3 linked regions of the Arabidopsis thaliana genome follow. The protein of the gene in region 1 binds, or shares a complex with, the protein of each later gene. Each region holds a gene or a part of one and is shown in the gene's direction. Other genes may lie near its edges. The genes, in order: NRPD2A, RPB5D and NRPE3B.

The links.
Region 2: NRPD2A (region 1) and RPB5D share a complex: the UniProt entries of both Arabidopsis thaliana proteins name them as parts of the RNA polymerase IV and V complex.
Region 3: NRPD2A (region 1) and NRPE3B share a complex: the UniProt entries of both Arabidopsis thaliana proteins name them as parts of the RNA polymerase IV and V complex.

The regions. Positions count from the first base shown.
Region 1 is NC_003074.8:8,566,462-8,579,223, reverse strand, and holds NRPD2A (nuclear RNA polymerase D2A), read left to right. Parts: upstream 1-5,014; 5' UTR 5,015-5,212; intron 5,213-5,374; 5' UTR 5,375-5,404; coding exon 5,405-5,821; intron 5,822-6,541; coding exon 6,542-6,769; intron 6,770-7,220; coding exon 7,221-8,101; intron 8,102-8,480; coding exon 8,481-8,772; intron 8,773-8,903; coding exon 8,904-9,797; intron 9,798-9,894; coding exon 9,895-10,199; intron 10,200-10,751; coding exon 10,752-11,253; 3' UTR 11,254-11,652; downstream 11,653-12,762. Other genes in the region: AAE16 (AMP-dependent synthetase and ligase family protein), read right to left, coding at 17-70, 179-337, 468-573, 718-785, 939-1,088, 1,206-1,321, 1,393-1,601, 2,054-2,141 and 3 more; AT3G23770 (O-Glycosyl hydrolases family 17 protein), read right to left, coding at 12,028-12,065, 12,198-12,762. UniProt on the Arabidopsis thaliana protein: DNA-dependent RNA polymerase catalyzes the transcription of DNA into RNA using the four ribonucleoside triphosphates as substrates.
Region 2 is NC_003071.7:17,221,776-17,231,551, forward strand, and holds RPB5D (RNA polymerase II fifth largest subunit, D), read left to right. Parts: upstream 1-6,984; 5' UTR 6,985-7,250; coding exon 7,251-7,490; intron 7,491-8,066; coding exon 8,067-8,243; intron 8,244-8,332; coding exon 8,333-8,446; coding exon of another isoform or gene 8,447-8,518; exon of another isoform or gene 8,519-8,523; coding exon of another isoform or gene 8,524-8,541; coding exon 8,542-8,667; 3' UTR 8,668-8,874; coding exon of another isoform or gene 8,875-9,123; 3' UTR 9,124-9,276; downstream 9,277-9,776. Other genes in the region: RR3 (response regulator 3), read left to right, coding at 505-607, 717-817, 920-997, 1,231-1,301, 1,437-1,761; AT2G41330 (Glutaredoxin family protein), read left to right, coding at 5,292-6,500; AT2G41342 (uncharacterized protein), read right to left, coding at 8,875-9,123. UniProt on the Arabidopsis thaliana protein: DNA-dependent RNA polymerase catalyzes the transcription of DNA into RNA using the four ribonucleoside triphosphates as substrates.
Region 3 is NC_003071.7:6,708,450-6,717,576, forward strand, and holds NRPE3B (DNA-directed RNA polymerase family protein), read left to right. Parts: upstream 1-4,445; 5' UTR 4,446-4,572; coding exon 4,573-5,021; intron 5,022-5,210; coding exon 5,211-5,448; coding exon of another isoform or gene 5,449-5,469; exon of another isoform or gene 5,470-5,664; coding exon 5,665-5,937; 3' UTR 5,938-6,160; downstream 6,161-9,127. Other genes in the region: FUT4 (fucosyltransferase 4), read right to left, coding at 896-2,340, 2,433-2,595. UniProt on the Arabidopsis thaliana protein: DNA-dependent RNA polymerase catalyzes the transcription of DNA into RNA using the four ribonucleoside triphosphates as substrates.

The DNA.
Region 1 (12,762 bases):
ATATTGGCGGTCTAACCTCAAAAAACTTGTCAACATGCATAGGTAAACTACCACCTCCACTAACACCAGCCTGGAGGAAACAGAGAATAGATTGCAAGTCAGTCTTACAATATTGCTTGTAAGGTAAAAAAATTTTAAAACAAGTAACTGAAAATGAAGTAGAATGTTGTAATACTACCTTTGTTATCCCAATAGACGAACGAATTTTTCTGTGTACAAGCTTTTCAGCCAACATATGCAATGGCCATAGGAAAAATGCAACTACTCTCGCCCACAACCAATCCACCAACGAAACAATATACATTGGAGGCTTTTGATTTTTTGTCAAACAAAGACCCTGCAACAGCAGAGCAAAGTACTTATGACGACTCCAAGCATCAGAAATATGAACAAGCAGAAAAAACTCATTTAAACCAAATTATTAGGTAGCATGAAACACTAAAGAGGGCATTATCTGGTTCACAAACCTCATAAACTCTTTTCATTTCCGTATATGCCAGGCTGACTTTGATCAATGTAAGTGCCAAAAATTTACGAGCAGGGGAGCTTGCAGAAATTTGCTTTTGAATCCCGCTGCAGTTCTCAGAAAAGAGAGAAAAGTGTTTAGCAATTTAAATGGTTGAGGATGCTGCTGAGAAAAGGTTTAATGATTAAATTCATTAAAAAAACTTATTCATTGTAAATCTTATGAAACAATTTTACTAGTAAAGCGCATACCTGTAGAGTGTCTCATATACTAAAGGAACTGAAATAAGATAGTGTGGTTGATAACGCTTGAGATCATCCTATACCAAAAAGCAAAAAAAAAAAGTTTCAAATCCAAAGGGAAAAATACAAATGAATGCTTGACTCAGTGCAAAGTCTCAACGTCTCCCATTTCCAAGGATAAGATGTTTCTTTTGAAATGTCATTATGTAACATAACATAGAAAGACTTACCTTTAAGAATCTTATAGACGTATACTTTTGCTCAACTCCACATGTAAATATGAAGTATTCACAAGCCCGTTCATAAGCATGCCATGATGGCAACATACTCAGAAATCTTTCCCCAGCTTCCGCAGGCACAAAATCGGACAAGTTTCTTATCTGTAGCAAGTAATTCAAGCCAAACGAACAAAAAAAAATCAGAACATAACAGCAAACTCAGTATTTCATAAATGGAGATATAAAGACACCGTTTTGACAATAAGTATTAGCTTGAACCTGGTGTAACAAATTCTGATGTGTGAGCATAACACCTTTTGGATTTCCTGTGGTTCCACTGGTATACATAATTGTGGCTATATCATCTGGATCGATGTATTCATATTCATACTTCCCTGCAGTCATTCCTTTGTTAGCACTGTCGAAATCACTAAGGGGTTCGTAAAAAAATAGATATGGCGCTTACCAGAATCATTAGATCTTGCAAATTTTGCACGTCTCTCTTGTCCAAACTTTTTAATTTCGTTGTAACTATAGACTGGTGTGTGCCTACCCGCTGTAACCAACGACGATTTTTCCCCCCAGAGAAGAATCACAAATTTTGGAGCTGCCTTGTAAGAAAATGACTCCGCAATGCGATTGAAAAACTCAGGGTTATCCACAACAAGGGCTACACTGCAAGGTAAATCACAAGAAGTTACCAAAACTCAGTACTCTGAATAAATTTGGAAATAAGAACTGGAGACACGCATAAAAGGTAATTCAAAAGACAATCATATTGAAGGGCCAAAGAATTCTGTCTGTGCCATTCAAGAACCTCCAAATTATGAAGAACCATAAGACAAGTGTGAAACCAAACATTGACTAAAATTACGCCTAATCAAGAGTGCAGATCACTATGAAACTAAATGAAATCTCTCTTGGACAAAGCAGGACAGTTACATGTATCTGAAGTGACAGAAGTTCTAAAAATGGTTCATATAAAAAATAAATTTTGATGACACAAGTGGTAAGTAAGTGTTTTTTGGTATACAGCAATAAAATTCTGAATAGAGTAATTTGCTAGCCTCTATCTCGAGTAAGATATTCACTTGAAATAACAAGATCACAAAAAGGTCTAGGTGTACCTTTCCGAATGACAGTATATCTGCAATAACTCTTCCACAGACGATCTGGATCCTCTAACAACATTGACTGCTCCTGTGGCCATTATACCTGGCATAAAGTAGTAAAGAGTACGTAAACATACCAATACCTGCGGAAAACAAAAAAATCGAATAACCAAATGAAATAATTAGAATTTTATTGCAGTAAAGCAGGGAAGTTAAGGCAACTTCCCAAGCGAGAACCATGATGTTATTGCCACCTAAGAGTGAAATTTAACTTTCCATGTCAATTGAAAAATTCTAACTAGACTTTCACTTCTTTGGGCATGAAACTTAGCCAGCCATACACTATGAAATGAAAGACTTTCAAACTGGAGTATGAACTTAAGAAGCCTTAAGGTTGATTATTTTTCCCTTTCAGAAACATCTAGAGAATGGAGAGAGACTATTTAGTCGTTTGGATGGATAAAGCACTACTTTATAAGGAAGAAAAGTGAATAATATCTCGACAGATCATTGGTGGTCTCTGGAATGGAAATGAAAAAATAATTAATGTGTAAGGTAAGCACCAGTAAATTCAGTATTCCAAGTGTAGTGACATCATCCAACAACAGTTAAGGCTCAAGCACTAAGAAGATTATGTAATAGATTGTTATTCTCCTACACTATAGAGTTCGAAAGTGTTCTATATAATCAACTGCATACCTTGATCCGCAACAAGCCATCGACAGGAGTTATCAGCAAAAAGTGCAATCTTCTCGTCTGCTTTCACTCCAACGACTCGTAAACCCTCAACAAAGTCCAAGATTTCTTGTTCCAACTGCAAAATAAGATGATTGAAATGAAAGGTTCCATTACTCATCCAAATTTAGCATCACTGTAAACTTCAAAAGTAATTACCCACCTATCTAGCAACAGGAAGTATTTCAGGCAGATAACTGAAACAACATTGGTTCCTAACATATAGATTAACACAGCAAATACCAAGGGACATGCCTGACAATAATCATAAGGAAATATCAATTTAGTATGCTTCCTAACATTCGAATATGGTTCATCTTCAGCACCCTCTAGCTACCTTCTTATTGACAAGCAGTTAAGATATGTAGATACAAAACTAATCGATAAAGAAAAAAAGCTGATGGCCAATCAATCTTAACTCTTAAACTTCAGTTTTTTCCCTAAGTTCTGTCATTTGCTTTAAAAACCTCTATTTCAAAAGTGTGGGGATCTAAAATAATAGCAATGAGATGCGAAGTAGTGTTACCTGTCTGTACGTGAATGTAGAAGGCGGGTCATGATACGGATCTACCACCGCAACTCTGTCACCGTACTTCTCCACAGATGATCTCCAAATATCAGGAACAGACTTCCATTCATTAGAGCTCAAAGCAGCCTCCCTTGGCAATGATAAGCGTTCTAAGAATGGCGAACACCGCCTTAACTCCTTCTCCTGAATCTATAAGAACGGTACACAATTGATGTTACATATAATTCAGGAAATGAACCATAAGGTAAACTTACAAGAACCCTATAAAAGCCTTTCAGGATCAAGCTGTTTAAACCCTGGTCATCAGAAGCAATTCAGCTTTCATAAGACAAGTATCCTAAACTAATAAGACTCAGAAGTCAGAGCCACTCGTTGTCTATTTTGGTGCAACAGCTAAACTTGAACCTTCCCCAAAGTCAATTCATTTCTTTAGATTACTTACTTCAAAAATCAAAGTGAAAGGAGCAATTTTTTAAGTCCACAAACCAAAAAGGAACTCGCCTTGGATTCGCAGCGAACTCGAAATCCCCTGCGTGAAGTTCTGCAGCCAAAAGCCTTGTAACCAAACACCAATCTCATCCCAGAAACTTGAAATTCAGGAGCTGAGGAGCAGTGAGAAACGAGAATCGAAGCTCCGAGAGACGTTGAAGCCATGGCTGAGGAGATAAGAGGTTATCGTGATGAAGTTGCTTGCATAGAGAGAATATATGAGAGGAGAAAGAGAGAAAGATGAAGAAGCAAAGAAAGGTAGAAAGAAAGAGACGAGAAAGTAGGTCGATGTCATGATTACGATTTTTCACAGGAAAGATCAGTTCCAAGTTGGTTGGCACCGCTACAGAAGCATGGCTTCTTCAGACTCTCAGAGATAATAAAACAAAAAACAGAGCTCAATACTTACACTTATATAATAACTTTTTATTTACTTATATATTATATTTCTATAATTAGATCAGATTTAACCTAATAAATCAAACTACCCATAATTATGATGTCCCAAATTTGGTAACTATTTGATGATTATTTCTAAACTGTAGGAGCAACCCCAACTTTGTATCTTAGCTAATTTTTAGGTATAAAAGTGATTAAATTTAATGAAACCAATAAACTTTAGCTAAGATAAACATCTTTATTAAGCCTCTCCGTCACTCACCAAAAAAAAAAACATCTTTATTTTATTTTTTTTGGTTAAACAAAAACATCTTTATTAAGATATTTTCTTAAAACTAAGAAAAGCATATGTGTTGTGTTTTGAGTGGGTAGACATTGTGTTGAAATAGTTTGTTGTTTCTTAAAATTCTAATCGTTCTTAACCATTGAAGTAGAAATTGGTTAAACTTCTTCCTAACTTTTCTTAACTTAGTAAAAACAACATTTTAATTTAAAATAAGCTTAAGATCCAAAATTAAAAATTAATTGATTTTAAACCATTGGGATTGCTCTGAGCTTTTTTAGTGAATTATGTGTTGTTTTTTTTCTTTGTGTTTTGGTCAAAATTAAGTTATATATGAAATTTATTAAACCAAACAACCAAATCGAATTAGATGTAAAAACCAAAATGTAGATGTTACAAATTTTGGAAAAAAAAAAAGATGTTACAAATTTTATGTCATGTGAACTTCTAAATATATTTCCTTTTCACTTTAAAATAAAAATAAAATAAAACTTAAACATAAAAATATAGATACCAAAGAGCAAAATTTAATAATATTGTCTACTAGTACTAGTGACGTCAATTTCTTCACTTCTCTTTGACTGCTTCGCTTAACCACTGAAAAAGTGTGCCAAGGGTTTTCTACGTCGAATCTCTCCGCATTCTCAGCGATTTTCCGGCGACGTTTACTCTGCACTCCTCCGACACCGCCGTTTTACTCCATCGTGCCAGCTTTAAGCAATCAAGGTACCTATTTTAGGTAATACGCTTTGATTCTGCTTTTAAGCATCGGAGAATATGTTATGGAGAATGATTCGGTTCTAAGGGAAAGTTGTTGATTTCGTGTTTGTATTCGCATGATTGCATTTTCGTGGTTCATGATTTTCACAGCTTTTTAATCAATTTCTCTGTCTTTGTTTAGGGTTTTTGTTCGTACAGTGTGTTTTGAGGTATGCCAGATATGGACATTGATGTGAAGGATCTTGAAGAGTTCGAGGCTACTACTGGGGAGATCAATCTATCTGAGCTAGGAGAAGGTTTTCTGCAGAGTTTCTGCAAAAAAGCTGCAACTTCTTTCTTTGATAAGTATGGACTTATAAGTCATCAGCTCAACTCCTACAACTACTTCATTGAACACGGGCTTCAGAATGTGTTTCAATCCTTTGGTGAGATGCTTGTGGAACCGTCTTTTGATGTTGTAAAGAAGAAGGATAATGATTGGAGATACGCAACGGTGAAGTTCGGAGAAGTCACTGTGGAGAAGCCTACTTTCTTTTCGGATGACAAGGAGCTTGAGTTTCTCCCATGGCATGCTAGGCTTCAGAACATGACATACTCTGCAAGGATCAAAGTCAATGTCCAAGTTGAGGTAACAGAAATTCTTTGTCGAAATTAAGTAACCTTGTCTGGATTTGATGAATGATAAAGAACACATGGTATAAGCTTATTTCTTGATGTTTCTACTAGACTCTTTCTGACACATATATGAAGATGTTGACATACACTGAGGTTCCTGTCATAGATTTCTCAATTTAACTTGCCATCAAATAATTTACTAAGGGTTAAGGAACATATTTGTCTGAAACTGGTTTCACTCTTTTTGGCTTTACAAGTTTTCTGTAATTGGATTTGGTTCCTTATTTGCATTCGCTGGATTTCTTACCTGAGCAAAATATCTAGTAAAAGAGATTTATTACAGTTACATGTTCGTGTGAAGTAGAGGTGTATTTCAAGCTTGGTTGTGTTTAAGATTGATGATTTTGTCTGCTCCCAATCTTTAGATGTTTCTTGTTTAAAATTTGAATTGTGATTACTTTTCCTTGTAGTGGTGGGTATTCAAACGAAATAAGCTTTAGTTTGTTTCATTTTAAAGTTTGGATGCAATAAAAGAAAAACATCTTCAGCTTTTTTTTTTATTTAGTTCTTCCCCACTGCCTCACTGTGCTTTAGTTTGAGTGTTTTATGCTTGTGTGCAATGACTCTTGTACTGTCAAACTTTTGATGATGTTTCTGTTTTGCTGTCCATGTATCTTATTCTTATAAATGTAGTTTATTGTCTAACTGCTTCTTCACTCTATAAATTGACTAGGTGTTCAAGAATACTGTTGTTAAAAGCGACAAATTCAAGACAGGACAAGACAACTATGTCGAGAAGAAGATACTGGATGTCAAAAAGCAGGACATTCTAATTGGTAGCATTCCTGTCATGGTGAAATCTATCCTTTGCAAAACAAGCGAGAAAGGGAAAGAAAACTGCAAAAAGGGGGATTGTGCCTTTGATCAGGGTGGATATTTCGTGATAAAGGGGGCTGAGAAGGTGAGTTTAACTAATACATACATATATGCATATTGCCATTCAATACGTACAATAACTTTATTTTCTATGCCAAAACGGATTTTGTTTGTCAGCAATCCATAAAACGGATTATAGTTACAATTTTCTATCATCAGATAATAGTGTTTATCAGCAAAAAGATGTTACAAATTAGACAATAACCTATTTGGTTCATTTTATTTTCCTAATGGAGATGAAGTAAGAAATTAAGAAACTTAACTTATTTATGACTTTGTATACTTCGTTAGCATCAAAGATATAAACTTTTTCTTTCCTTTCTGGCTTGACCATGAGGCCATGAGTATTCAAATCTTACAGGAAGCGTTCTTTGCAATCTTAGGCTCTGGGACAGATGATTTGACTCTAATATATTCTGGAAAAAATATTTTCAAGTTGTTATACTTCTCCCTAACGTTATTATATTGTTTTGCAGGTGTTTATAGCTCAAGAACAGATGTGCACAAAGAGACTGTGGATTTCTAATTCACCATGGACAGTCTCCTTCAGGTCCGAAAATAAAAGAAATAGATTCATTGTGCGCCTCTCGGAGAATGAGAAAGCAGAAGACTATAAGAGAAGGGAGAAAGTACTGACAGTGTACTTCTTGTCGACTGAGATTCCAGTCTGGCTCCTCTTCTTTGCGCTAGGTGTTTCGTCAGACAAAGAAGCCATGGATCTAATTGCTTTTGATGGTGATGATGCAAGCATTACCAACAGTCTCATAGCTTCTATCCATGTAGCTGATGCAGTTTGTGAAGCTTTTCGCTGTGGGAACAATGCTTTAACATATGTTGAACAGCAGATCAAAAGCACCAAATTCCCTCCTGCTGAAAGTGTGGATGAGTGCCTCCATCTGTATTTGTTTCCAGGCCTCCAAAGTTTGAAGAAGAAAGCTCGATTCCTGGGCTATATGGTGAAGTGCCTTCTGAACTCGTATGCGGGAAAAAGAAAATGCGAAAACAGGGACAGTTTCCGGAATAAGCGAATTGAGCTCGCTGGAGAACTATTGGAGAGGGAGATAAGGGTGCATCTGGCACATGCTAGAAGAAAGATGACCAGGGCCATGCAGAAACACCTCTCAGGCGATGGTGATTTGAAGCCTATTGAGCATTATTTGGATGCTTCTGTTATCACAAATGGGCTTAGTAGAGCCTTCTCTACTGGAGCATGGTCTCATCCTTTCAGGAAGATGGAAAGGGTTTCAGGTGTTGTGGCTAATTTGGGTCGTGCAAATCCATTGCAGACTCTGATTGATCTGAGGAGAACGCGACAGCAAGTCTTATATACCGGCAAGGTTGGAGATGCTAGATATCCGTAAGTGAATTCCACCTCCTCTGGTATATTTAAATATATCTCACGTATTTTAACTTACTGGTCTGGTCTGCATTTACTCCATTTTACATGTCTTCAGACTGTTTTAAAGATATTCGTAATAACTTTAATTCAATGTAGTATATGATGCCGATCACTGTTTCTGCAGTCTCTTGTCTGTGTATAATACTTATTTTGTATAGATGTTACTGCTATTAAAAAACTCTGATACTGTCTTTCTTGTTTCTTTCTCCCTTGGTCAATCTATCTGTTGAACTCTTGAGATTATCCATTTTGGTTCCTTTTCAATGTGAGCGGTTAGACAATTAAATCGTGTTGGGAAACTGAACTATAGCTGCATTGTTTGTAATGTTGGCCACAGGCACCCCTCTCACTGGGGCAGAGTATGCTTTTTGTCAACTCCAGACGGTGAAAATTGTGGTCTTGTGAAGAACATGTCTCTTCTGGGACTTGTGAGCACCCAAAGTTTGGAGTCTGTGGTGGAAAAGCTCTTCGCTTGTGGAATGGAAGAGCTGATGGATGATACATGCACACCATTGTTTGGCAAACATAAAGTTCTTCTCAATGGAGACTGGGTTGGATTATGTGCAGATTCTGAATCCTTTGTCGCGGAGTTAAAAAGCAGGCGGCGCCAAAGTGAATTACCTCGTGAGGTATCTTCTGTTTCAGCAAATCTCTTGCTATATTTTGATATTCTTGTGTTACTTGGTATTTGCTTTGGATTTTTCTGCTTCAGATGTGTCTATGTCGAATATTGTTTATATATATGAAACGTTCTCTGCAGATGGAAATCAAGCGAGATAAAGATGACAATGAGGTAAGAATTTTCACTGATGCTGGTAGACTACTCCGACCTCTCTTGGTTGTGGAAAATCTCCAAAAGTTGAAGCAAGAAAAACCTTCACAGTATCCTTTTGACCATCTTCTTGACCATGGGATTCTCGAGCTGATCGGGATTGAGGAAGAAGAAGACTGTAATACAGCATGGGGAATCAAACAGCTTCTGAAGGAACCAAAGATATACACACATTGCGAATTGGACCTGTCATTCTTGTTGGGTGTGAGCTGTGCAGTTGTCCCATTTGCAAATCACGACCATGGGAGAAGAGTTCTCTACCAGTCCCAGAAGCACTGCCAACAAGCCATTGGATTCTCATCAACGAACCCTAACATCCGCTGCGATACGCTGTCCCAGCAGCTGTTCTATCCTCAGAAGCCACTGTTCAAGACATTGGCGTCGGAGTGTCTTAAAAAAGAAGTGCTGTTCAATGGCCAGAACGCAATTGTTGCTGTGAATGTTCATCTCGGGTACAACCAAGAGGATTCCATTGTGATGAACAAGGCTTCATTGGAACGTGGTATGTTCCGTTCAGAGCAGATTAGAAGCTACAAAGCAGAGGTTGATGCTAAAGACTCAGAGAAGAGGAAGAAGATGGATGAGCTTGTTCAGTTTGGAAAGACACACAGCAAAATCGGCAAAGTAGACAGCCTTGAAGATGACGGGTTTCCTTTCATTGGTGCTAACATGAGTACTGGCGATATTGTCATTGGCAGATGCACCGAGTCTGGGGCTGATCACAGTATAAAGCTCAAGCACACTGAGAGAGGAATTGTGCAAAAAGTGGTATTATCATCTAATGATGAAGGGAAGAATTTTGCTGCGGTTTCTCTGAGACAGGTAAGTTCCAGATCATACTAAATCGAGCTGTTTTTTCAGAGAATGCATTCCTATGTATGAATCGAATGTTCCATTGATTGGCTTTTACATCTTACAGGTTCGTTCTCCATGCCTTGGAGATAAGTTTTCCAGTATGCATGGCCAGAAGGGTGTTTTAGGCTACCTAGAGGAACAGCAGAATTTTCCTTTCACGATCCAAGGCATAGTTCCTGATATTGTGATAAACCCGCACGCTTTCCCTTCTAGGCAAACACCAGGTCAACTCTTGGAGGCTGCTCTCTCCAAAGGAATCGCTTGTCCTATACAAAAGGAGGGTAGCTCTGCTGCATACACCAAATTGACACGTCATGCCACTCCTTTCTCCACTCCGGGTGTCACTGAAATCACCGAGCAGCTTCACAGGTACATTCTTCACATTGTCTCTTGGTTTTAGCTCGTAAAACAGAATATAAAATTATATGCTATAACAGATTTACATTTGCTTCCTATACAAATAGATGATATCATTAAGGGCAGGAACATATTATTGATAATATTTCCTCGTTGAAGATGTTTAAACTTGGAGACTTTGGCTACAGAATTTCCAAAAGTTGATTGAGCTAATATACTGCACAAGGCACTAAGCTAGATTTGAGCACCTTACTTGAAACATGTCATAGTGGATCTTTATTTTGTTTTCTAGGAGTACTAGAAGTGAGCATGAGTTATCTGTCTCTGTAAGACTAAAAAACTAAGAAGTTCAATGTTCTATGGTTGATTAATTTCTTGTATTGTGCCTGAAAAACGTCTAGAGAATACAGAAAAATAGGCTCAAGAGTCATGTACCAGTATATAATTAGTTAGAGGATTGATGCTGTGAGCCTTGTGATCTATGTATAATTCATTTAACCTTTCTTAGATTATTGTTGATTCTTGAGTCCTGATTCATTACCAATGGTAAATATTTGTGATTAGGGCCGGCTTTTCAAGATGGGGAAACGAAAGGGTCTACAACGGTAGATCAGGTGAGATGATGCGTTCTATGATATTCATGGGCCCAACTTTCTACCAGCGACTTGTCCACATGTCAGAGGACAAAGTCAAGTTCAGGAACACTGGACCAGTCCACCCGCTCACACGCCAGCCAGTTGCAGACAGGAAGAGATTTGGCGGGATAAAATTTGGAGAAATGGAGCGAGACTGCCTAATAGCTCACGGTGCATCAGCTAATCTGCATGAGCGTCTCTTCACTCTAAGTGACTCTTCTCAGATGCACATCTGCAGAAAATGTAAGACCTATGCGAATGTGATCGAGAGGACTCCAAGCAGTGGAAGAAAGATTAGAGGGCCATATTGTAGAGTCTGCGTATCCTCAGACCATGTGGTTAGGGTCTATGTTCCGTATGGAGCTAAGCTTCTGTGTCAGGAGCTGTTCAGCATGGGCATCACTCTCAACTTCGACACCAAGCTATGCTGATTCCCCCTCTTTATTATGTAAATGGCTTATTGCCTTAAGACCATGTTATGTGTAGTTTGCTTCAGTCCCGGTTCTGGTTAGTAGTATAGGTTTTGGTTTGGTTGATTCGGTAAGGGTTATCCGAACCGAAGAAATCGTAAAACCGAGCCACTGATGACTGAACTAACCCGTAAGTGTTGCTTTTGTGAGATTTGACTCTTTAACCGTTAATAATTCTCGGATCTAAAGTAAAGTTTTAGGAAAACTTTCATTGTCTTCTTCTTCTTCCGGAGGCATAAACCCCTTGCTCGGAGTCGTTTCTCTCATTCTTCGATTTCGCTTTCATATAGAAGGTCATGACTCCATTTTATGATTTTATTGGTTCTGTTTTTTTCTTCATAATGCGATAACTCATAACTCCGTTCAATCGCTTTGTTCAAATAAGAACACTATAGCACTACTATATGTTCTTCATATTCGTGTTCTTTAGGAACATGTGAATCAAAAACTTCATATTTCTCGTATAGTAATGATCGCAAAACATGTTCTTGAATTAGTTATAAAATTCTCATAATTTCCTTCAGAACATTAATAAACTACTAGATATATGAGAAATGAGAAGGGATGAGGAACAAATTTCTATAGATTATTATAGATCTTGCACAACAATGGGACACAAAGAGTAAAAACTTGGAATAAAAAGGAAACTAATCATAATTATCAAGAGATATAATCAACTTAATGCGAATGATTCTTTTGATCCTTTCCTCCACACGCCTGAGTCACGAGGCAGCCTCACAATGTAACGCTAGGAAACTTGCAACGCTCATTTCCTGTAACAAGATAGTAACCATTACAAATTACAATCATAAGAATATTCCAGAATTTCACCAAAAAGTTGAAATTAAAGAGTATTTACACGTCTGTGTAGAGTTTTCTTGTGAGACAAGTTAAGAGAAACTTACCAGGGTTGGTCGTGGTCTCACGAGCCAAACCATTGAAGTAGCATTGAGAGCTTTGGTTCCGGAACTGAGCCCAGTACGAGCTAAACGCATAGCTTGCATGCCAAGTAACCGTCACCGGTGCATAGCATTCTCCTCCTGGAGCCAACGCTGCACATGTTGCATTGCTTCTTCCGCAAGCAAAGTTAAGCGCCTGCCCTAGCTCTGCCTCATCGGCCCCATCAACCGCCACACACCATACATTACCTTTAAACGGAACATTGTTACTCGGTTTAGGCAACGAATCAAAACCAGAAAACGATCTTCTACCGCTGAAATCGATGTCGTAGATCGGTGTACCGTCAGGGTTCAAAATTCCCCAATGTCTCTCTGTTCCCGAACCGGGTTTCTGGTTTTCATTGAACAAAGAGAACAAAAACGTCGGTATAGGTGCACCGCGCCTAGCTGGTGTACCGAGTGGCGGGTTAGCAGTCATCTTCTTGATCAAATTCCGGTTATACGTCGCGGCATTGACAATATTAGCTCCGGTTTCATGGATATCACCGTCATTAGGCCACCCGGTTTCAGA
Region 2 (9,776 bases), on another chromosome or scaffold:
GCATGTGGTTGTGGTAGTATACACATTATTAAATCCCTCATCCTCTTATCTTAAAAAAAAAAAAAGTCTTTGGTGGGCTAAACAAATCCTTTAAAATCTTCATATAGATTTCTTTCCATTATTTATTTTATCCATTATCAAAGTCTTTTTTTTTTTTAAATTTCTTTCTCTCGTTGTCTCCTTGGAAATTACTTTCATCATTTAAAAAACTTGCTTACTCCGTAAACCAAAGCTAGATCCAATTAGTCTTATTTCCTTTTTATTCGTCTCTCTCTCACTATCCGAGATTTGGGTTGAAAAATACAAACCCCCTTTTATTTCTCCTCTTCTCTCCTACAAGCTCATTCAGAACTCTCAACATTTCCGGTAGAGAAAAAAAAACCGTTTTTTTTTTAATCTCTTTCTAAAGAAGGATATCAAAACAAAACACAAAGTTGAAAACTTTGCATCTGGGTTTGTCTATTTTAGATTCAGATCTTAGTTTTTTTCGATTGAATATCTACAATGGTAATGGAAACAGAGTCAAAGTTCCATGTTTTAGCTGTTGATGATAGTCTTTTTGATCGGAAAATGATTGAGAGATTGCTTCAAAAGTCTTCATGTCAAGGTAGATTCGAAAAAGCCATAATCTTTAAGCTATATGTATTGGAGAAAGAGAAGGAAGATATACTGAAAAAAAGGTTTCTTTATTTGGTTCTTGTTCTTATGTTTTGCAGTAACTACAGTTGATTCAGGCTCTAAAGCTCTGGAATTTCTGGGTTTAAGAGTAGATGACAACGACCCAAATGCACTCTCTACATCGCCACAAATTCATCAGGTTCAGTTTTTGATCTTTTACATGATTCAAAGTTGGTTACTTTCGAAATTTGCAATGAATGGTTATATTGAGATTTGTTTGTAATTTGTGGCTTTTGAGCAGGAAGTTGAAATAAATCTAATAATTACAGATTACTGTATGCCTGGCATGACTGGTTATGATTTGCTCAAGAAAGTTAAGGTATTTCTTCTCAATTTGGTTACTGTCTTTTCCATCTCTGGCTAAATTCGTTTCCAGAAAAAGAAATAAAGTTTTTTACTTTAGTTTTCTTTTCCAAATGAGAATGTCAATGGAGAAATTGAAAATCTCATTTTGGAATATTTTCCCACTCAAAAACTTTCCTTTATGCCATTGTTTGATAAAAAAGAACAATTGATTTGCTTCTGAGTAATCTACATGATTGTTGTGTATAGGAATCAGCGGCGTTTAGAAGTATACCTGTAGTTATAATGTCATCTGAGAACGTTCCTGCAAGAATCTCCAGGTAAGAGCTCTGTTTCTTTAAAGTTAATTTGAGTATTATTGATTTGAGAATTGGCAAGTGGATACTATTATTCGATTCTTTGGTTTGAATAAGTCTTTGAACTATCTACAAAATTGTGGTGGTTTCTTCCAACAGATGTTTGGAAGAAGGAGCTGAAGAGTTTTTCTTGAAACCAGTGAAGTTAGCTGATCTTACCAAGTTGAAACCTCATATGATGAAAACGAAGTTGAAGAAAGAAAGTGAGAAACCAGTTGCCATAGAAGAGATTGTGGTGTCTAAACCGGAGATAGAAGAAGAAGAAGAAGAGTCATCAGTGATTGAAATCTTGCCTCTCCACCAAGAAATTGAATCCGAACAACTTGAACCAATGTTGAGTAGTAATAAGAGAAAAGCAATGGAAGAAGTGGTTTCTACTGATCGATCACGTCCTAAATACAATGATATCACAACCTCGGTCTGAAGGAGGACTAACGCAACCCGAGAAGCCACTACAAGACCTATATGGAGAATGCCAACAGAATCTCTCAGTAGAAGATCTGCTAACTCTTGCATCTGAAGCAAACAACAACGGACTGCAAGGAGGACTAACGCAACCCGAGAAGCCACTACAAGACCTATATGGAGAATGCCAACAGAATCTCTCAGTAGAAGATCTGCTAACTCTTGAATATGAAGCAAACAACAACGGACTGCTAGGAGTAATACCGCAGCAACATCGTTATCATCAGGAAAAAGAGACAATGCAGACACAAGGAGATCCACTAAATCGAATACCTATTCAATCAGAAGCTTCAAACCATTCAGATAGTGGTAAGTAGCAACACTAGAAATGTGGTTTCATACTATAGCTTTTGTCATCTCTTATCTTACTTGTTTCTTGGTTGTTCTCTCTTTTCACTCAGGTGATAGCACACTAACAATGGCTCAAAACCAGGATGGTCTCGGACACAGTAGTTGTTTTATTCTCTGTCAATTTACTTCTCTCCCCTAGATTAGCTTTCTTCGTTTTTTTCTTTTATTTTTCATGCTGTTAAACCCACAAGATTTTTGGGAAGTTTCTTGCTACTAGCTTAAGAATCCAAAACTATTGCAAAGATTGAAGCTTTCGAGAATTAGTAATGAATCTTATCAAAACTAACAGCTACATTTACTAGCTTAAGAACCATTAAACGAATTGTAAAATTCTCTCATCTTGTGGGTGTAACAGCATCAAAGATCTAAATCCAATCTTATCAAAAATTGGAAGTGGTCGAAAGTTTTGGCCTTTTGATACGAACAAGCTTCAAAGATATAATTCCTGAGATTGAAGATGAAATTTTTATGATTTGTTCCCTTTGGAAACGAAAACTGTATTAAGAGAGCTATTTGTCCCACATCGGAAAAACAAAACGTTTTGTTGTTGTATATAATAGGGAAGGTAGCGAGTATTGTACGTCGAACTCAGTAACGCGGGCTTGTGATCCAAGTGGAGACAATAAGGGGATGGGACGTTGGGTCGATCTCATTGGGCCGGGTTCGGGTTGGGCTATATTCTGGCCCGCCCATTCCAAGTTGGGAGTTGAGGCATGGGCTTCGAGCGAAGGCTCGGGTCTCATGTCTTCTAGAGTGGGGGAGACCGCGTGAGGCTGGTTTCACAGAGCAGCGTCCACCTCCCGCTCTTGACGGTGGAAGGATTACGGGCCATTGCCTTCCGAGCCCACTATGACCCAATAAGCCGCTCCGATTGGACCATCACTTTTTTATTTTCTCTTTCTTATTTTTTTGTGTACTCTCTCGTTTTTTTCAGTATTTCAAAACTGGACAATAATATTAACGTTTAACTATAAAGAAAGCAAAATCATTAGCCCTAATTTTGATTAGAGATAACATTCCAAGAACTATCTAAAAAGAAAAAAAAATGTGACAAAAGGAAGCTTCTGTGATGTTTGTTGCATCAAATTATTTTACATAATTATTTATTTCCAATCACATGAGTAATATTCATTATGCCTCCTTTTTATGCAATATTTCTGTTGTTTTGTGAAGTACTATCAACTAACGATAGGAAAAATACAAAAGTTTAATTATAAATATGAAAGGAAACAAAATATGTCCAATTATAAGGGAATAATTATTAGTTCGTTGGGGAAATGTCAGCTAGCTCGTAAATGACATTTATTTTGGTATTTAAAAACAAAATAAACACACTATCAAAATTTGCATAACATATAGTACCAAGTAATCAACCACTGGGTCGGGTTGATAAAGTTTGGGTTGCGATCTTCTCTTTTTATTGGTCGAACAGTGACGTGTCCCCTAACGCTGTCCTAACTGGCCAGAAAGAGACACGGCTGGTGAACAGAACCCACACGTGGCGATGTCTTATTGCTGGAAAGATCCTCTCGTGTCCCACGTGCCTGATTATTCTTTCATATTTCATCTCCTTTACCGTAAAAATTCCACCATTGGATCTCCCAATTTTTCCAGTGATTTTTCTTCTCTTCAGCCAAATGAATTGAGCTCACAAAACTGAGAGAGTGAGAGATTATGGCGATGCCTTTGGAAATGGCGATGCTTTTGACGAAAACGGTTTGGTTTGCTCTGAGCGGCTGGATTTTAACATGTTTGTCCATCGCCGACGAGATTGCTGGTTCACTCAGAAACCGAGAAGTTGGTCCTCCTTTACATCTCGCATGATCACATTTACATTCTTCACCTCTTTCCTAGCTCCTACTCGATTTTCAGCTTTTTTTTTTCCGGTGTGAATCGTCCCAAAAGATTGAAGAGTTTGGGTTTATAGAGGAGATAAATATATAGGTATAGGTGATTTGTTTGCTCATAGATATATTATACGTGTTAATTATTTGTGTGTGTTTCTGCTGATTTGAGAGAATTATAATATGTGTGTCAATTGATGCTTGTCTTCTGGTTCTTATTTCCAAAAGTGAATTACTTTCAAACTGTGATGAATGATATGTGAATTTGGACTATATTCGTCCATTTGATGAGTTACATTCCTAGAGTCTAGAGATTCAGCTGATTTTAGTTGAGAATCATTCAAATAGCTTAAAAATGTTACAAGACTAATTGTAGGACGAGTTATGTCAGAAACTTGTTTCAAATTTGACATGAAGAAATTATAAGCAAATAGTAAGTAAAGATTTCACTTCCTTTTTCTGTTGGTAAAAGCAAAAAAGTACATACATATTGAAATATTCTAAACAAATTTAGCGCGTTGGCTTCTTTCTTTACGGATAAGTTACCAAGATTTCCTTCTTTTTATACATAAAAGAAACTAAAATAACTTCTTTTGCCCATCTTGCTTTTGTTTATGATGATGATGATATTTTCTTTATTTATTCCAGTTATTAAAAGGCAAAGTACCAAAGGAATCTTCAATGAGTGTTCCTTGTGCGATTCAGCTTCATGTTTATTCTCATATAACAGAAAGTATCAGTGCACAGCACAATTTCTCTAACAGTAAACTTATATCCAACTTTTACTTTGTATGTGTCGTCGGGATTTGAATGTGTGGTATGATATTTTATTTTAGTCTTCTATAACAATTAAGTTTCTATAAGGTTGGATATTAATTTGCTCTGTTTTTATTACCCTAGAAAAATTATATTAGTGGGAGTCATTGGCTAGTTCACGTTTGGAAGTTATGCAATTTTTGAGGATCTTGACAGTTTACTTTCTTTGATTTCAGTTATAATTACTTTTCTGAAATTAAGCTCTAAAAATAAGGATCAAATGGATACTTACCTTAGTTATCAAATCAAAGCAAATTCGATATGGACGAATCAACATCACAATCGTCTTCTTTAGTGTTTTCACCATCTTCCACCTCTAACTTACTTAGACAGCTCCTTTCCACCTGTTTCTTCTCTCTCTGTCTTTCTTTTTTCTCTTTCTTCTTTTATATTCTCCGACAAAAGAAAAAGTACAAGATACCCAGAAAAAGAGTGTAGAAACTACATTTGTTCTTCTTCTCTGTTCTGCTTCGAAATTATGGGTTCCTCTGTTTCTAAAACCGCTTCCTCTGCTTCTGCTTCTTCTATAACATCGATTTTGAATTCACCTCCGGAGACGGAATTCAACATCCCTTCTTCATCGGTACCTAAAGCTTTCACATTTCCGATGCCGTCGATTCATCATCCACCTGCTAAAAAAGGCGACACACACCACTTTGTCTCTCTTACATCGACCACTTACGGTTCTCTTGTTCTCGACGACAGACAAACATTGCCTCACATCTCCGTTTCCGGGAAGAGTAACAAGAAGATGCCTGAAACAGAGGAGGCTCGCGACTCGTTCTCTCCTGACTCAGTGATCAACACATGGGAGCTCATGAACGACCTCGACGACGAATTCGATTCCGCGAATTCCGATACAAGTAAGAGTAATTCCGTCGTAAATTTGGATTCCTTTTCTAAACCCATCACGAATCGAGACGTGGTTATTAATGGGTCTGCGTATGGATCTTACGAAGATGAGGAAGATTGGAGATTATTGCCTTTTAAACCTAAGCAACCTCTGTGGAAACATATGTCTGAAGAATCATTTCTCTCTGATTTAGATCCTAACATTATCTCATCTTACAAAAGAGCACTGTCCTCCAAACAGCTAGGCAAGAACAGTAGCAATGGCCACTCAAATCATTCGGTTTTAGTCAGTTTACCAGAATATGTATCTTCTAGTCCATTGAGTTCTCAGACTTCGGAAAAAGACCAAGAGAAACCAAGATTGCTTGAAAAAGAAGATAACGAGAACAAGATAGTAGTATACTTCACTAGCCTCAGAGGAATTCGAAAGACGTATGAAGATTGTTGTTGCGTTAGAGCGATATTGAGAGGGTTTCAGGTTGCGGTAGAGGAGCGTGACATCTCAATGGACTCCAAATACAGGAAAGAGCTTCAGAATGCACTCGGCGAAGAGAAACCGGTTTGTTTGCCTCAGGTGTTTATAAGAGGCGTCCGCATTGGTGGAATTGAGGAGATCAAGATACTCAACGATGGAGGTGAACTGGCAGAGATGTTAAAAGATTTTCCTGCTTGCGAATCCATTGGAGCCTGCGATAGCTGCGGAGATGCAAGGTTTGTGCCGTGTACTAATTGTGGCGGTAGTACTAAAGTGTTTGAGGAACAAGAAGATGGGTTTAAGAGATGCAATGGATGCAATGAGAATGGATTGGTACGTTGTAACAAGTGTTGTCTTTAGTAATTGGATTCGTTTGAGTGATGTTGTTGTGAAAATGTGAAGAGAAGAAAAAGAATCTAAAGATATAACTTTTGACTTAAGATATGTTTGGTTGGTTGTGTTCTTTGAATGATTTGTTTGTTTTCATGCTGTATATTATAAGAAGTGGCCTAAAGCTCAAACCTAGAATGTCAAGCCTCAATTGTTTCTTCACGTTGATCTTTGTAATTTACATGTTATAAAATGATTTTTTTTTCCAAACAAATACAAACAGGATGAAAATATTTATGTAAACCTAGAACTATTTTATTTCTTTGAAAATAATAGCTAAACCTTTTTTTAATATGGATATGCAAACTGAAAAATTAGAGTTTGCTGTTTTGGCCTTTTGGTCTTGTACAAATTTGTTTTTGTTACATTTTACAGATGACCTGTTACGGCAGTAGCGGTAACGAAAATGTTACTAGGCATTCCACAGTAATTGTCTCTTAACGTCATCTACTATCTTATCTCTTCTAGCTATTTTAGTATGGCTTACCATTTTTCCAAAAACCAGTGTCACTAAAGTTACAGAACAATCGCCTTTGACTACATCACCTGCTTGATCATTGGCTACCATCCAAGTCTGTTTGTAAACTTCATCCGCTGTCACGGTAAAAACGTCACGGGTAAACTGATTATTGAAAACGACAACGGGTCTTATCATCTTCAAACCCCTCACATTACTCAAGCTTTGCTTCCTTCCCCGAGACCGAGAGAGAGAGAGAGACGATGGAGGGGAAAGGGAAAGAGATAGTGGTTGGACATTCCATTAGTAAATCAAGTGTAGAGTGTCACAAATATTACCTGGCACGTCGAACCACCATGGAGATGCTCCGAGACAGAGGATACGATGTCTCCGACGAAGATATTAACCTCTCCCTCCAGCAATTTCGAGCGCTCTATGGGGAACATCCTGACGTAGATCTACTTCGTATCTCAGCCAAACATCGCTTTGATTCTTCGAAAAAGGTAATTGGAATTCGATACGAATACGAATGTGATTTCGATTTCTGATGGTTTTCTTTCTCTGCATGTTGATTTTTCTGCCTAGCTTTTGAAATCTACTTAGTGTTTTCCATTGACTTGATTTAGTTGTATGTAATATGCAATTTGTCTGAAGAAAGCATTCTACTTTTAAAGACTTCCTCTGATTTCCAGCTTGGTTCCTAGTTAGGTTTGGTTTTATCTGATTCCTCTGTTTTTGAAACAGAGACGTTGTTTCTTCTGGCAAAAATCTAAATGGTTCGACTGGTTTAAATTTGGTTAGATAAGAATGGTTAGGTAATTGGGTTTGTTAGCACTAATCAGTTAGTTAATGTGTAATTACCATAGTAATACTTGTAAGGTTAAGAGTTCTAATAAACAATTTTCACATTATTCTCTGTTCTTGGCTTCTCCTATTCAGAGTTAATAATATAGTACTTGGCTTAGGCCGAACTGCAAAAGAACTCCTCAGCGAGGTTGTTTCCTTGAAATTTATTATCGTCGTTTGCTGTTGTCACTGAAGTCACAAGTACATAGCAATTTCTCTGATTTGAATTTCAGATCTCGGTAGTGTTTTGTGGAACTGGTATAGTTAAAGTCAATGCGATGCGCGTCATTGCAGCAGATGTGCTTAGCCGAGAAAATATAACCGGACTGATACTGGTTTTGCAAAGTCATATAACGAACCAAGCTCTTAAAGCCGTTGAACTTTTCTCCTTTAAGGTCGAGTTATTCGAGGTAATATATCTTTATCTTGAGTACCGTGTTAGGTTATGTGTTCCCACATTTGGCTCATAACATCTTGGTTGCGCTTGTTGTGTTGTTAGATTACCGATTTGTTGGTTAACGTAAGCAAACATGTCTTGAGGCCAAAACATCAGGTTCTGAACGATAAAGAGAAGGAATCACTTCTCAAGAAGTTCAGTATTGAGGAGAAACAAGTAAGCAAGTTTTTTGGTATTTGGATCATTACTAGTACTAGTAGCTCTGACTCTGAGCCAGCTTTTCTCTGAATTAGAATGTTTTTTTTGGTTAGCTTCCTCGGTTATCGAGCAAAGACCCGATTGTGCGATACTATGGACTAGAGACAGGGCAAGTCATGAAGGTCACATACAAAGACGAGCTCAGTGAGTCGCATGTTACATACCGATGCGTTTCTTAAACTCGTTTTGTTTATATTTTCAGCTCTTTCTTTGTGTAGCAATTTATCTGTAACATGTTTTGATGTAAAAACCTGTAATGTGTTTCTTGTGGTCTCTAAACCAAACAATTTTGATAGTTAATTAATGTGTGGTTAACATAAATACACAACTCTGTTTAATAGTTTACAAAAACATAGAAAGCTTGGTCAAAACAAAACAATGGTCAACTATGGACGATGGTCGAATCTGGCTGATTCATGTTTGACCCATGAGTTGACTTTCTCAGCTTCATGGCCAAGTCTTTGCTCCTCCCGTCTGGCCGCCTTAAGCTGATGCTCTTGCTCCTTCACGGAAAAGGTGCTTGTGTCCGATAGATACTTGTCGTCGCCGGTTTGCCACCTCCGGTCGCTAGTGCTCCCCATCGTACTACGTCTGGTGCTATCTGGATCGCGAGAACAGCACAAACTTGATCCCATGTGGTTCAAAACTAAAATCTTTGATGAAAAGAATTATTCAGATACGAAAATAGATGAAAGTTTAAGAACAAATGAGATAGAGACAGAAGGGTTGGTTTAGTGTTGGACCAAATTATGTATTTGCTGAAATAATTAGTGGTTTTGAAATTTTTTGCTTCACATTTTATACATAAAAATATTGGAGTGTGACGTCAATAAACAAAACAATTTATTAACAATTTATTTCAATCACGAAATCATTTTGTCATTACTATCATTTCACAGGTTAACACTTTTAATGCTTCCAAACCATTTAACAAATGATATGAGAGCATTAAAATTTTGAGATTTGTTGTTAATTGTTAGTCACAAAGAATATTATGAGAATTTTAAACCAACAAAAAAAACTTTATGAGAAATTGGCCTTTTTTGAATTAACTGTTATATTCAAAATCCGCCAATAACATCGCTCTAATTATCTCTCTTTCCCAAATCTGGAAAATTTAGGGTTCCAACAAAAACGCGATCGCATTACCCAAAAATTCAAATTTGCAACTGATTTCGTCCTGTTTGAATCACTCCAATTCTATTGCTTTCTTCGTCGTTTGATCCAAAACAGTGAGAAGCGATACACCATTTTTTCTGGGTGTGTGAATTTTTATTTTACCCCAAAT
Region 3 (9,127 bases), on another chromosome or scaffold:
AGACTACCTACCCATGTAGTTACATTCCCAACCGTACTAGACCAGCAACTCCAATCCAGACGTGATCATAACCGAGAAAGCTCACCAACACCACGCAACACCAATTTTTCATGTACAAATGATGTGGGCTTGAGAATACATCAGCACACAACATATTTTAAGACTTTTGATCGAAAGACAATTGTCCACTGTCGGGCTAAATCAAGAGATGGTCGAATGAGTCTACCCAAACCGTACCACGAACCTGTGAAACTACCCAATGGCCAAACTACTCGTTGATTTGAGATGGGCATGAATATTCATCAAAAAATCACCTATTTTATGAGGAATGATCCAAGGAATCCATCCCAGGTTCGAGCTGGTTTAGGAGATGACTAAGGAGGCCTCAAAATGGGTCCAAATAAGCTTGTTCCCATGACCCAATTAATCCAAAGAAGAAGAAGCCACAGAACAAAAAGGGTGATCTCCACTTGCATTTGTGTTCACACTTGGCCACTTCACAAACGGCTTGTCTTATTCACTAACTCGTCCCCTTAAGTTTTTCCATATCCTGATTGAGTGCATCTAAACCCTCCAATCCTAACGGCTAGAACATCAACCTCTCCTTCAATATTTCCATTTGATTTTGCATATTGTATAATCTAGTAACCTTTTTATGATTTTAGACCAACTGATTTATATTTTGAAATGATATAAGTTAAATGTGAAATGATATTTATAAAATATTATAACCAAACAAAACCTCGCAAACGTTTTAGACAACTAAATCTTTCTATGCAGTAACATATTAATACTAATGATTAAATAGAATAAAATGAAAAAGGAAGATATATAACATTTATCCTATGTTTCAATAATTCAACAATCAAATCAAATCAAATGTGATAAACAATATCTATAACTCATCAAAAAGCTTAAGCCCCCATATATCCTCACAATACCTAACAAAAGGAACAACTTTCCCCGATTCAGTTCCCCATGCGTCAGGTTCACATCCATGAGTCGGAGGAGTAAGGAAACAAGGCTCCATCGACGTGGATCGAACACACGGCGGATCAGGAGCTTTGTTATCATTTGGCAGATAAAGTAACCATGGCTTTAATCCTCCAAGACTATAAGCAACATATCCAAATGTTGACCTTGAGCTTGCAACAATGTTATCGGTTAAGCTCAAAAGATACATCTCAGCAAGCGCCTTTTGGTCGTGAACCTTCTTGTCTGTTTGTTGATACCTTTCTCCACTTGGCTGATATACTTTAATAATCTCTCCCGTCATATTTGCTCGCTCTGAAAACATGTTCTCTAGTTTCTTAGAGTACTCAGGAGACAAAGAAGTGACAAGAACAGCTTTACTTTTTGGAATGTTCGATATGTTGACTTTTGATTCTTCTTGTGTAGCCAATTCAGGCAAAAGTTTCTCTCTTTGTGTGCAGGATATGACCTGGTCCATGACGTGTTGGTAGTATCCACCTTGATCGCGAAAAACCCGAATTTGAATCCCGAGTCTCTCATCTGCTTTGGATAAGTGATCATGGTAGTACTTAGTGACGATATCCCAAACTTGATTTTTAGGGTGAAAAAGATACCGACCCAAGTGGTGAAACACGGTTTCTTTCTGCGGAAACAGCTTCGTTAGTTCGGTTTGGAAAGTTGGATTAAACCATAAAGATGGAACAAAGTAAACATTGGCTCTAAATATCAACCAAGGGACTTTGTCAATCAAACTTTGATCCTTTTGGCAGAAGAACATCTTATCACTATCCCTTGAATCATGAAGGTTATGCATATATAGATGTGGCGGGAATGAAGTCGAGTTGATGGAATGATTTTCCAACATTGTTCCGTAACAACGAGAGTATCCCTTGTGGTATCCATCAGCATATTTCATCAATGGAAAGTCGAGAGGAAGCAACCATGAAGTACCTGGAAATGGCTCGCATAAGAGATCACCAATATCCTTGCGGTTGTCAACAAGAATGATTCTATCAGTCAAGAGAGCGTAGAGGAACACAGAAGCAAGAGTGAGTAGTCGGTTTCCAAGCCCGTAATCAGCGAGCCACACAACGTATCGGCATTCACCATCTGATTTGCTTGCATTATAATTCTCATCATGACTAAGATGCTTTGTTGCTTCCTTGTAAGCTTTTGTCCCTGGACCGCAACGTTTGTGAAGCATCTCATAGCTTCTAAGCTTCGAGACAAGATATTCAGACGGCTTGTATGGTGAAGGCTTGCGATACAAGAAAGTTTTATGATACCTACTCAAGCAAGAACCTTCATCGAAATCTGCGGTTAAAAGCCCTCCTATTAGTCTATCCCGCCCCGGTGTTTCGGATTCGTCTGAACATATAACAAAAAAAAAGGTCAAAAGGAGAATTCTTTGAGCTAACAATGAATGACAAAACATGGATGCTTATTTTTTTCTTTCTTACCGTTGATTGTAGCAGCAAAAAGTTTATTGTTGAAGTTGTTTGAGAATGAAAGTAACATAACAGACAAAATTAGTAAGGTACTAAAGACGATGGTTATCAGAATTTTCGTCTTCAATCCCAAACCCTTGATAACTTCGCCGGAGATCTGAAATATATGATACATGTTGACTTTTAGTTTGTGAAGATGATTCAAAAAGAGTTTACAACGCTTATATAACTTGATTACAACTTTTAATGTCAATCACTGATCAATAAGATAAAACTTTGAATATTCTAATGTGTCATTGTTAAGTTGTGACTATCAACGAACTCCAAACGTGACTCTATTTTGTTTAATAGAAGAAAAGTCTTTAAACTCCAAATTGTGATTTTGTATTATATAATATTCAGAATTATCGAAGAAACTTCCTATGGGAGAGCTCTTGTGAATTATTAACAATTTGGAATCCAAACAACTAGGATTTGTCAGGCACGTTGTGAAGACCATGACATTGATGTATTGAAATATGCAATAATTTGTAATTACATAAATATTGAGATCTGTTTGACATGCCCAATCAAAACATACAATCATGTCAATAATTAAGTGATCCCAAATTGTTTAAACGATTTACCTTAGTGATCAAAGTCCTAAACTCGTTTAAAAAACTAATGGTCAAAAGATTCCTAAAAAATTGCAAGTAGGCCACGAAACATAGAGAAAGTGATATGAACTTTAAGTTTCTAACAATACACCAATAAAATTATGGTCCAGATTTTGATCTATATGTAATAGGTTCATGAACTTAGTTTTAAAAGTCACAAACGGTATACGTAGATTATTGTTAACATGAACGACTAACAACGACATAACACGCGCAATTCATATGACTCTAGATGTTACCCTTGATATTCACATGCATGTAAAACTCTCAATATGCTATTTGAAAGTCTCCGGGGGTTGCCACGTCATCACATCGCTCCAAAGGCCCCATTTGTTTTTTCATTTTTTTTTCCTTTATTAAATGTTTTTCTCATCGACCAATCGTCCTCTGACTTTTTTTATTTTGACGAGGGAAATGTATTCAGATTCGAGCGGAACCGCGGTTGGCCCGGTAAACCCGATGACTCAGTCACTAATCCAGTTTGGCTCCAACACTACAATCCGCTAATTTTCAATCAGGTAAATTTTGAAAATCTCTAATAAATTCCGGTAATGGTATAACCCGCGATATGGTACTACTAGTTGAAACCGTCGTGCTTAAAAATGTTGATTAAAATTCAACTTTTTTTTTTTGGCTAAACTGCAAATATCATATATATGAAAAGGATGGTTTTACAAGGAAGTTAAACCCGGAATTGGTTTCTTGGCAAAATAAAAATAAAAAAGGAAAGCAATATTAGAATTTTGGACCAGACATGATCAGTGCACTTAAAGCCCCAAAACCCACTAAAATTCTATTTTTAAAAATAATTTATATTTTCTGTTGGATAAAATATATTATATGTAATCTTTTAGATTTAGGTCAAGATTTAATTGTGTCAATGAAAATAAGCGGAATAATTATGAAAATAAGCGGAATAATGATGAGTACAACTTGTACATTGTCCGAAACCATTCACATAATTACCATTAAAATTAATTATGTAAAAAAATTTTAATTGTAATTAGAAAGAATAATTTTGGAAAAACACTATATAAAGATTAAAACAACAAATTTACCATTATTCTTTATGAACCAATGCATTTTTAATCCTTTTTACTCTTTATATAATGTTTTTAATCCAAGTTACTGTTAAAAATATGGAATTTCGATTCTTTTTAATATTTGTATTTCCAAAATTATTATTATGTAATTCAAATTATAAAGATTAAAAAGTCTTAAAATAACATTGGGTCATTATTTGAATTGATGTAAACAGAAAATCCATTGTAGACATTTTGACCATTCCCAATAACTGTTATGAGAAGCCTGAAAATGCCCAGTAAACAAAAGAATAGGCCCATATAGGCCCAACTTAAACTACTATAGTTCTTCTTATACCTTTTTCCACTCTCACTCACTTTGCTCTCTCCAAATTTCTTCTTCTTCTCCGGCGAAGAAATCGAAAAGTCATTACCCTAAGAGTCCCAGAGTCGTCAGAAGGAACAGCTTTTGAAATGGACGGTGTCACCTACCAAAGATTCCCAACGGTGAAGATCCGTGAGCTTAAAGATGACTACGCCAAGTTCGAGCTTCGTGAAACCGACGTTTCAATGGCCAACGCTCTCCGTCGCGTAATGATCTCCGAAGTCCCCACCATGGCAATCCATCTCGTCAAAATCGAGGTTAATTCCTCTGTTCTCAACGACGAGTTCATTGCTCAACGACTTAGTCTCATCCCTCTCACTAGCGAGCGTGCTATGAGCATGCGGTTCTGTCAAGATTGTGAAGATTGTAATGGAGATGAACATTGCGAGTTCTGCTCTGTTGAGTTTCCCCTTAGTGCTAAGTGTGTTACTGACCAAACCCTAGATGTTACTAGTAGGGATCTCTACAGTGCTGATCCTACTGTTACTCCTGTTGATTTCACTAGTAACTCATCTACTTCTGATTCAAGCGAGCACAAGTAAGTCCCTTTTCATCATTGTAGTGATTATTTGTTCTTTATGAATTGATTGGAATTGCTAAGCTTAGATATTACACAATGCTAAACAAAATTTGACATCTTTAGATGCCCTTTGCATGAGTCTTCCTTTTGGTAGTTCTGTGGCTTTTTTTTCTGCAGTTTCTTAGACTGTTATTGTTTTGGTTTCAGGGGAATTATCATTGCGAAACTACGCAGGGGACAAGAGTTGAAGCTTAAAGCATTAGCTAGGAAAGGAATTGGGAAAGATCATGCGAAATGGTCTCCTGCAGCTACTGTTACGTATATGTATGAGCCTGACATTATTATCAATGAAGAGATGATGAACACTTTGACAGATGAGGAAAAAATTGACTTGATTGAGAGCAGTCCTACCAAAGTGTTTGGCATTGACCCAGTCACCGGACAGGTTAATTTCGATGTTCTGTAAGAATAACATCTATACAAGTTTATAGCTTTGAGACTTCAATATGATTGTACTACTTTATAGGCTACCATGCTTTGAAATATATGTATGTGATGTGGTGTATGAATTTTCTTTAAGTGTTTAGTGCGTTTAGCTCATTTCTTTTGCAGTCTATTGTTTGAATCATCACAACTGTAATTATAATACTTTGCTTCTTAGGTTGTGGTGGTTGATCCTGAAGCATACACTTACGATGAAGAAGTGATCAAGAAAGCTGAAGCAATGGGGAAACCGGGACTCATTGAGATCCATCCGAAACATGATAGTTTTGTATTCACTGTTGAGTCCACAGGTGCATTGAAGGCTTCTCAGCTGGTACTAAATGCCATTGATATCCTGAAGCAGAAGCTTGATGCAATCCGTCTCTCAGATAACACTGTAGAAGCCGATGATCAGTTTGGTGAACTCGGTGCCCATATGCGTGAAGGATGAAATCGTAGCTCTTTTTTTACCTGTTTGATCAGGGTTTAAGTTTCTTCTAGACCAGACTAATATATTAACCGTAGCGGCACTGCCTTGTTTGATAGCAACATGTAAAGTGGCAGTCTTGTCTTTGTTCCCGACCTCTGACTGATCCTTGTGTTCCTGAACCTTGTTATGTTGGGTTATTTTTAGTCGTTGAACTCTCTCGTAATTGGCGTTTTTTTTGTTGTCATTGTTAAGAATGGGTTAGTTAATATAGGAAAAAAGATTTTAATTGATATTAATTAAGGTAAAAACAAAATATTAAACTAATATTGAAAAGTTTAATATTATATTAGTGAGATACTCTAACAAAACCAAGTTAATATTTTTCTATTAATTTATCTAAAAAAATAATATATATCCACATGTTAGATATATATATGTATACTTAAAAAAAAAATGTGAGTGGATGAAAAATATTTGTTTCTTCTTAATGCTGATACCTAGGAGTGTCAAAATGGGTAACCCAACTCAACTCAACTCATAATCAAATGAGTTTAAAGTTAAATGAGTTATAGGTTGACCCAACTCATTTTGTTAAATAGATTGGATCAAACTATAACTCATTTAATTTGATGAGTTGAGTTGTTAAATGGGTTAACACATTTAAGTAATAATTAAATTAATTTATTTACGTGTTAAACACTCAACTGTAATGGCTACTCTATGTCTTCCTCCTACTTAATTTCCAATGCTTCCGGAATCCTTATCTTACATTTCTCGACCACATTTTTGAGTAATAGTAATAGGCTAAGGCGCTCGCCGTAAATTATTTAAGTGCACCTGAGAGTAAATGAGTCAATAGGTCAAGTTGCTCCAGGTATGAAATTCACGAATTAAAAATGCTGTAATATACTCTTTCCCATAACTTCTCATACCAGACCAACATTATTATTATAAAACAATAATAAATAATAATTATTATTAATTCATTATCATCAAACTTATGATATTTACGGATTCCACTTTTTACGGGTTTACGTTTTTGGCGGGAAAATCTTGGATTTACGTTTTTGGAGGGAAAATCACGGGTTTACGTTTTTGGCGGGAAAATTACGGGTTTACGTTTTTGGCGGGAAAATTACGGGTTTACGTTTTTGGCGAGAAAATCTCGGGTTTACGTTTTTGGCAGGAAAATCACAGGTTTACGTTTTTGGTGGAAAAATTACGGGTTTACGTTTTTGGCGGGAAAATTATAGATTTACGTTTTTGGCGGGAAAATCTCGGATTTACTTTTTTTTGGCGGGAAAATTACGGGTTTACGTTTTTGGCGGAAAAATTATGGATTTACGTTTTTGGCGGGAAAATCTTGGGTTTACGTTTTTGGCAGGAAAATCACGGGTTTACGTTTTTGGCGGGAAAATCACAGTTTTACGTTTTTGGCGGGAAAATCACGGGTTTATGTTTTTTGGTGGAAAAATTACGAGTTTACTTTTTTTTCAATTTCATCCCTTGTATATTTAAGAAATTTGGAAAACTATTAATTTTATTAAATTGATTTAGATGTGTTGGTTAGACTTAAATTGACATTGGTTTAGAGATTTTAGTTGGTTTAATTCAATTTTACAAAACTTGATGGGTTAATTGGGTAAACCATTGAAACCATTAACCATTACAACTCAACTCATTTTACTCATCAAACCAATTGACTCATCAACTCATTTGACCCATCAACTCATTTGAGTCAAAAATTTCAACTCATTAGGGTCCATGGATTGAGTTGAGTTGAGTTTGACCCATGAATTTTGACCCATTTTGACACCCCTACTGATACCTAATAACATCTTTATTTGAATTAAGTAACATAAAAATTCATAAACTTTCCAAGATAAGCAACACATGAATAGCATGAACTTCAATATGGAAGACCTTTGCATAGTGGATATCCAATTTTAAATTGCATACCTCTTGAGGGTTTATTAAAGCTCTTTCAAGTTCATGAACGTCAGTCACAAAATAAGTTTATGGTGAGTAATGATATGTTGTTCATTCTTTACTTTTACATATATATAGATAAAGACTGGTCCGATGGACGGGTTTATTTTCTTATAACTAAATTCAAATTTAACAAAAATAATAATTGACAACGTTGTAAGTTTTCAAAAGTAAAAAAAATATATATATATATATATATATATATAAATTTCACTGTTGCATTGTTTCCTTCACCACTTCAATTATTTGAATGAAAAATATATCATATATCAATAACTCAAATTATTTGAATGAAAAATATATTACGTATCAATAACTTTTGGTATAGATATGAATACTAAAATTAAAAATATTCATCATAGAATTGGTGAACGATTCCAAAATGGTTTTAAATTAGACACATTAAAAACATAGAATAATTGGTAAGAATACCCTTTCAACATTACCTATTTTCAATTATACCCTTTCTTATTTGTCATTTTCATTTATGCCTTTTTACTCCTATTTGGAAAATGTTTTAAGTTAACAAAATAAAATATTGATTTTTTCCTGCCTAAAATATTCTGAAACTAAATTTTCCGCCAAAATTTTCCCGCCAAAAAAAGTTTCCACCAAAACATTTTTCTCACAATTTTTTTGACGGGAAATAGATTTACAAGGGATTTTAACAGTTTTTTAAAGGGTTTTAAAATATTTACAAGGATTTTAAAAGATTTTTTAAGGGTTTAAAAGGGTTTTAAAAGAGGGAGATTTGCAAAACTACCCTTTTTTTACTACCCTTTTCCAACAATACCCTTTTATATTTTTCATTTTTAAAAATATCCCTTGCTTTGAACAGAATGACTAAATTACCCTCATCTAATAAAAACATGTAATTGGAAACTGAAAGTTTCCCGCTATTTTTTTGGTGCCAAAATTTATTTTTCCTGCTAAAAAAAAATTTCCCATCAGATCGTCCGGCTCGGCCCAAATGAGAGCTGCTCGGCCCAACAACATCAAGTCGGCCCAGATGAAAGCTGCTCGGCCCAGCCCGACAAACTTGAGAGGGTAAAAACGTAAAACCGCAGGGGAGACCCTAGGTCAGCTCCTAGCCTATAAATAGCAGAAGACACTATTGGGAAAAGGGACCAGGAGTTATTACCTAGAGAATTTAAGAGAGAATAGTTGCCTAGCTCTGTTATCTCTTGCTTTCCCGTTTTCCGTTTTGTATTTTCTGGTTTTT